Linked DNA regions of Macaca fascicularis. The protein of the gene in region 2 purifies or fractionates together with the protein of the main gene of each other region. This does not show direct contact. Links are inferred from orthologs where the notes say so. Each region holds a gene or a part of one and is shown on either strand. Other genes may lie near its edges. The genes, in order: CANX and GGH.

Region 1 (3,818 bases), on a different chromosome or scaffold from region 2:
TTTGCATGTGCTATCATAAAAAAAGGAAGTCTTATTTTGGCCCTCTACTTCTACTAAATGAGGATTATGCTTCATCTGGCATTCATAGCACTTTGTAACTGGATCCCAAGTTCCTTTTCCAGCCTTATCCTCTGACACTATTCTTTGTATCTGTGCCGCAGTCACCTTTTTTGACCCGTATTTTCCTGTCTGGCCCTTTTGTTTTTATTCTACCTTGAAACACGCATGTGCACACATGCTCTTCAGGGTAGGAATTACATCTTATTCGTTTTTATATATCTATCCCTGTATACAGCCTGGAACAGAACTTTGCCTGTAGGCATTCAGGAATTATATAACATAATACCTGAACATGTAAACAAAATTGTACTTTGGGGAACATTTCAGAAACAGACCAGTGCTATGGAGTATAAGAAAACTGATGCACCTCAGCCGGATGTGAAGGAAGAGGAAGAAGAGAAGGAAGAGGAAAAGGACAAGGGAGATGAGGAGGAGGAAGGAGAAGAGAAACTTGGTAAGAAATAGAGTCCAGAAAATCTGCTTTAAGCCAAGACCCTACGATGTCGTTAAACCTTTACAGTCAAGTTAAAGATTGTTTTTAGCCAGGCATGGTGGCTCAAGCCTGTAATCCTAGCACTTTGGGAGGTTGCAGCAGGAAAATCGCTTGAGCCCAGGAGTTTAAGGCTGTAGTCAGCCAGGATAGTGCCACTGTACTCCAGCTGAGCAACAGAGTGAGGTCCTCTCTCTCTCTTTTTTATGTTTATTTTGTATGTATGTATGTATGTATTTATTTATTTTGAGATGAAGTCTCGCTCTGTTGCCCAGGCTGGAGTGCAGTGGTGCGATCTCGGCTCACTGCACGCTCCGCCTCCTGGGTTGACACCATTCTCCTGCCTCAGCCTCCCAAGTAGCTGGGACTATAGGCGCCCGCCACTATGCCTGGCTAACTTTTTTGTATTTTTAGTAAAGACAGGGTTTCGCCGCATTATCCAGGATGGTCTCGATCTCCTGACCTCATGATCCACCCACCTCGGCCTCCCAAAGTGCCAGGATTACAGACGTGAGCCACTGCGCCCATCCTCTGTTTTTATTTTTTAAGACATGGTCCCACTCTGTCACTCAGGTTGGAATGCAATGGCACAATCACAGTTCACCACAGCCTCGAACTTATAGGCTCAAGTGATCCTCCTACCTCAGCCTCCCCCGTCCCCAAGTAGCTGGGACCACATGCCCAGCTGATTTATTATTTATTTATTTATTTGATGTGGTCTGGCCCTGTTGCCTAGGCTGGAGTGCAGTGGTGTGATCTTGGTTCACTGCAGCCTTTGCCTCCCGGATTCAAGCGATTCTCCCACCTGGGCCTCCCAAAGTGTTGGGATTACAGGCGTGAGCCACCACACCCAGCGAGATCCTGTCTCTTAAAAAAAAAATTATTGACCAGGCACGGTGGTTCACACCTGTAATTCCAGCACTTTGGGAGGCTGAGGCGAGTGGATCATGAGGTCAGGAGATCGAAACCATCCTGGCTAACACGGTAAAACCCCGTCTCTTCTAAAAATACAAAAATTTAGCCGGGCGTGGTGGCGGGTGCCTGTAGCCCCAGCTCCTTGGGAGGCTGAGGCAGGAGAACCGCTTGAACCTGGAGGCAGAGGTTGCAGTGAGCTGAGATCGCGCCACTGCACTCCAGCCTGGGTTGACAGAGCGAAACTCCGTCTCAAGAAAAAAAAAAGTGTTGTAGATCTAGAGATTTGTTCTAATGCTAATGTGTAATCACCAAAAATAGTCAGGTTTTGCTCAGTTGTTTAACTTTTGTCTCAGAAGAGAAACAGAAAAGTGATGCTGAAGAAGATGGTGGCACTGTCAGTCAAGAGGAGGAAGACAGAAAACCTAAAGCAGAGGTAAAGGAAAGGGGTCACACATTCTGTTTTTCCAAGTTTAAGGTACATTTATTTAAAGGGAATATTTTAATAGGGTAGTTTACAGTGGCTTATGGCAGTAAAAATTCTGTTAAAACCAATTTTGTTGAAGTGGAATTCTTTGTGATACTGGTCAGTGTTTTGTTTGATAATCTGAAGCTACGTCTGCCTCTCCAAAGTATCTTTTTAGCTGAAAATGATTTTCTGGAATAAGCAGAAGGTTGTAGGGGGATAATAAAATGCTTGCTAAGAAGGAAACTTCGGGTCATTAACAGTCTATTTGCCTCTCCTCACAGTGCCCTGAAAAGTATTTCTTATACAAATCACTGTGTTCTAAACTTTTTGTCCCCGTTATCCATAGATTGGTTCATTCATTCATTTACCTGATGTGTGTTGAGTGCCCATTTTGTTGCAGGCATTGTCAGTGAATAAGACAGACAAAGATACCCTGCCTTTAGGGAGCTGATATTCTACTTGGGGGAAACAGGCAGTGAGCAGTAAACATTGTAAGGAAGTAAACAACACAGCATATTAGGAAGTGAGAAACTATGAAAAATTAAAACAGGAAAAAGTATTAAAAGTGCTAGAGGTAGGGCGGGTCACCATGTTAAAAACCTTACTCGAAAGATGACACTGGACCAAAGACTTGAAAGAGATAGAGAACTTTTCCATGGGGATGTAAGTGGGAAGAGCATTCCAGGCAGAGAGAACAGCCAGTATTGAGAGCCTAAAGTGGTCTACAAAGCCAGTATTGTGAGTGGACAGACAGAGTGGAGAAGAGAAGGGTGGAGAAGGCTCCGGGTTAGACAGGCTGTTGTGTGGACTTGGCTTTCCCTCCTAGTGAAGCAGGCAACCATCACAGGCTACTGGACACAGTTGTCACAGGATGATGACTATCTGCTGTGTTTCCTATATACCAGTGAGAATCAGGGAGACCAGTTAGGAGGTTCCTGTAATCATCTAGGAAAGATATGGTGGCCCCAAAAAGGGTGACAGGAGAGGAACAGAGGGTATGAGAACTAGTTGGGGTTCTGGATCTTGGTTTTGTGGTGGATTGGATAGATATATAGAGTATGAGAGAAAGGGAACAGTCATTGTACCATTGCCCACTAAAGTCCTTCCCCCAGCACCTCTGTGTCTCAGTCTGGTCTCTCCTGGAAAGCTCTTCTCAGGTTTTACTTCCAGCTACAACTCTGCCTTCCTATTAATAAAGGTCATTGCTATCTGTATCTTTTGTATATTTTCAATGGATATGTTCTGTCTTAACTAGAATGCAGTTCTTTTTTTTTTTTTTTTTTTTTTTTTGAGACGGAGTCTCGCTCTGTCACCCAGGCTGGAGTGCAGTGGCCGGATCTCAGCTCACTGCAAGCTCCGCTTCCCGGGTTTACGCCATTCTCCTGCCTCAGCCTCCCCAGTAGCTGGGACTACAGGCGCCCGCCACCTCGCCCGGCTAGTTTTTTGTATTTTTTAGTAGAGACGGGGTTTCACCGTATTAACCAGGATGGTCTCGATCTCCCGACCTCGTGATCCGCCCGTCTCGGCCTCCCAAAGTGCTGGGATTACAGGCTTGAGCCACCGCGCCCAGCCCTAGAATGCAGTTCTTAAAAGTAGAGACCATGTTTCCCCCAAACTCCCTCACATGTTAAAAAGTTGCTGGCGCATTTAAAAAAAAAAAGGAGTATTTTCATAGGGTAATTTACAATCTTAGCAACTTGTGATAGAGTACAAAGAGCAGCAGCCTTGGAGTCAGTCTACTTGGATAGTCTTCCATCTTCATGAATCCTTGGTTTCTTACCCTCAGACTGGGGCGAGTGTGCGATAGGCCAGTAGATTGTTTGGGATTAAGCAAGATTAAGAAATCACTTAAGCAAGATGAAGAAACCACAGTGTCTGATCCCTTTT
Region 2 (3,818 bases):
CCTGAGGTTCAGTGTCCTCATTTGCAAAAGGGTCTAACGCTTAGGGGTTTTTTGTGTGTGAGAATTAAATAAGTTTTTTTTTTTTTTTTTTTTTTTTTTAAGACAGAGTCTGTCACTCTGGAGCGCAGTGACGCAATCTTGGCTCACAGCAACCTCCACCTCCAGGGTTCAAGGGATTCTCCTGCCTCAGCCTCCTGAGTGGCTGGGACTACAGGCGCCCCACCACACCTGGCTGAATTTTGTGTTTTTAGTAGAGACAAGGTTTCACCATGTTGGCCAGGCTGGTCTCAAACTCCTGACCTCTGGTGATCCGCCCACCTTGGCCTCCCAAAGTGCTGGGATTAGAGGATCCACCGGGAAGCGCTGTATTTACTCAGCAACCAGGAACTCCAGTGAGTTTTGGTGTCTAGAGTTTTTACTGGAATGTTGTTATGAAATAATTGATTGAATCATTGCCTATGTGACTGAACTCAAATCTCCAGCCCCTCTTTCATACTTGGAGATTGATTGGGCTGGCTCGAAGTTTCAACTTTCTGATCATGAAGTTAGTGTTTCTAATGATTAGTCTTCATCCTGAAATATTTGAGGGACCCACCTTGAATTACCACATTAGCATAACAAAAATACTTTTATCACTCCAGGAATTCTAAGGGTTTTAGAAGCTTCCTGTCAGGAACCCAGGACGAAGACCAGAAAGATTCTTAATGATACCACTCTGTATAAGTAGATAATGATTGTTGTTGGTTACTTGATCTCTGAATGCTTAGAATTGAAGCCACCAGCTATTTCTGTTCTCTTGAGGATTTTGCAAGGAAAGTAGCAGTCATACTTAAAACCTATAGAATGCTTTATGCTTTTGAAAGCTCTTTCTTCCATTGTCTCACTTAATAATTGCAAAAACCCAGTGGGAAGTACATGTATTAGGTCAGAGTACTTTGGTTCTGTTGCCAGAACCCAGTTTATACAGAAAAGGAATGTTTCAGGGAGCTGCGATTTTCATGGAAGTCTCTAGCAAGAATAAGGGGCCTGGTTTGCAACAGCTGGCACTATCACCTTGAAAACGTCAGTTTCTTTTTTTCAAAATCTGTTTGTTGGTGTTTGAGTCTGTGCAGCACCTTCAGTGTTGACCACTAAGATATATTGCTTTTTGATCTGTTTACTGAGTCAAAATTTCTTGGCTTGGTTCGTGTTCTTTTCTACATTGTTTTTATTTTTATTTGTTTGTCCCAGATACTTCTGAAAATATGTTGAAAGTTTTGGATCCTTTCCTGGGCAAATACGTACACCCATGGAAAGTTTTAACTGTTTTTCAGAATAGTCTGTGGAAATCTAGTTAAGATTCCCTGCCTGTTCTATAGCTTGCCAATACTCATATCAGAAGAATTTTACTTATTCATGTTAAAATTCTAGAAGAAAATTACTTATATCTGGAGCATATTTGAGTTTATGTTAAACACATTTTGTAACTTGATTGGAATACTTCTATGGAAATGATGCGTTTTGCTTATCATTTAGTCATCTTGATTATATCTTCATAATGGCTTCTCTTTGGGTGCAGATAAGCGATTTCAGTGGATTTTATTTTTTGTGTGTTTAAATTATTTCTCTTGTACTTAAATTATTTCAGGTCAATTACACAGCAGAATGTTCCAGAATTTTCCTACTGAGTTGTTGCTGTCGTTAGCAGTAGAACCTCTGACTGCCAATTTCCATAAGTGGAGCCTCTCCATGAAGGTATCACACTAATTACACAATGAAATTAATATGTTTAGAATAACTGCAGAAGTAATCATTTTGTTTTGTTTTCGTATTCTAGAATTTTACGATGAATGAAAAGTTAAAGAAGTTTTTCAGTGTCTTAACTACAAATACAGATGGCGAGATTGAGTTTATTTCATCAATGGAAGGTATATCACTATAGCATGTACACTTTATTTCATTTATTTTATATTTTTGAGTTTTGATTTTGTATGTCTTAAAATCATGTTACTTTGGGGCCTGAAGATGGATGTTAGGGCATTTTCGGAGACAGGAGACGTGTTTTGTCCGTGTTTCAAATTAATTGCAGTTTTCCTGGGTATTTTCCTGAATGAAGTGGTGAAGAAGAAACGTAAAAGAATAAAGGGGGTGGAGATGAAGAAAGAAATGAAGAAAATGACTTCTGTTTCTGGCAATATTGCAGATTAAATAACTTGATAGACTTTCCTCCAGCCAACAACAAAATAAATGTGGGTGATAATAGAAAAACATAGTAAATACGCTGATGAATTGGCAAACAAATAAAGATACTCAGGTTCAAAATTTTAAGAGTTGAATGGAATATTTAAACCAGTGTTGTTATTGAATCAGGAGAACTTGAGACAGTCAGGACCCTCTACATGGAGCAGGACTTGGAAGGCTATACCTGCAATGTCAGGCTGAACTCAAAATACAGCTGGAATCCGCCCTACAGAATGGCAAGGAGAATAGCCCATCCTGAGCCTTGGGGCTAAGGGAGTGGGGTGGGGGTCAGTGAATAAAGCCTTGAATGTTTATAATGATGGGCTGTTCTCCTAGTGTGGCCAGCATTATACTAACTGGGAAGTTGGACAAATCTTAAGTAATTTTGTTCAGGGTTGTCTCAGACTGGTAATGCCCTCACATGTGACGCTGAAGCAAATGTAAATAATTATTTTGAGAGGACCAGAGGTTCATCCCAGGCTTCACGGAATTTCCATATATGAAGTTTGAAGGAAAATGAACACTTCACAGCCAAAATACTACTAATGTACAAGCAAGCAAAGTACTGTGAATGAGAACTTGCAGAGATAACAGATGTGGAAGCAGACCTGCATAAATGTTAGATATTAGTATTATGAGATAAAGTATAATATATTTTAAGTTTTAAAGAAAGAAATAAGAATGCTTGCAAATATAGGCATGAAACAGTCAGATTTGAAAATAACCAAATTCAGCTATTAGAAATTATAGTTGAGGCTAGGTGTGGTGGCTCACACCTGTAATCCCAGCACTTTGAGAGGCCGAGGCGGATCACCTGAGGTCAGAAGTTCAAGACCAGCCTGGCCAACGTGGTGAAATCCCATCTCTACTAAAAATACAAAAAAAAAAAAAAAAAAGGCCGAGCATAGTGGCACGTGCCTGTAGTCCCCTACTTGGAGGTTGCAGTGAGTCGAGACTATGCCACTGCACTCCAGCCTGGATGACAGAGCGAGACTCTGTTTCCAAAAAAAAAAGAAGAAATTGTAATTGAAATAAAACCCTCAGTAGACATGTTAATCAGAAGGTTAGACACAGTTGAGGAGAAATTAATGAACTAGAATAGAAGATAGATGTGAAGGAAACATTCAGAATCCAACATAGCCAGACATGTAAACGTAAATGCCAAATGTGTCAGAAGAAAGGTGGGAATCTGGAGGGTAAAGTGATTTCTTACATACCTAACCAGAACTCTTGAAGGAATGGGAAAAAGTAGGGCAGAGACAGACTCTTTTTTCTGTGTTTAAAAAAAAAAAATTCAGGTGGATAAAAGACCTAAGGAGAAAGGCACACTACAATAAGGTTTTAGAAAAAGTAAAGGAGAATTGTCTTTATGATCTTGTTTAAGGGAAGGAGTTTTGAAGACAAAATATAAACAAACCATAAAGGAAAAGATTGATGAATTCAATCAAATGAGGAAGTTGTGTTCATAAAAGGAAACAAATTACACAAGAAAAAAAGGGGAGGTATTTGTAATGCATATAACTGACAAAAGTTGTGCGTCTAGCTTACATACAGTAAAGCTATGTAATTTAAGAAGAAAAGATAACTTATGAAAAATG

Evidence for each region.
Region 1: the proteins of GGH (region 2) and CANX purify together in Homo sapiens (affinity purification with mass spectrometry; 3 studies listed by BioGRID and IntAct, with this or other methods). This does not show direct contact. The link is inferred for Macaca fascicularis from reciprocal best matches to the Homo sapiens genes GGH and CANX.

The regions. Positions count from the first base shown.
Region 1 is NC_088380.1:186,599,467-186,603,284, forward strand, and holds part of CANX (calnexin), read left to right. Parts: intron 1-387; coding exon 388-514; intron 515-1,818; coding exon 1,819-1,898; intron 1,899-3,818. UniProt on the Homo sapiens protein: Calcium-binding protein that interacts with newly synthesized monoglucosylated glycoproteins in the endoplasmic reticulum. It may act in assisting protein assembly and/or in the retention within the ER of unassembled protein subunits.
Region 2 is NC_088382.1:72,952,622-72,956,439, reverse strand, and holds part of GGH (gamma-glutamyl hydrolase), read left to right. Parts: intron 1-1,627; coding exon 1,628-1,734; intron 1,735-1,816; coding exon 1,817-1,907; intron 1,908-2,068; coding exon of another isoform or gene 2,069-2,187; exon of another isoform or gene 2,188-2,307; intron 2,308-3,818. UniProt on the Homo sapiens protein: Hydrolyzes the polyglutamate sidechains of pteroylpolyglutamates. Progressively removes gamma-glutamyl residues from pteroylpoly-gamma-glutamate to yield pteroyl-alpha-glutamate (folic acid) and free glutamate.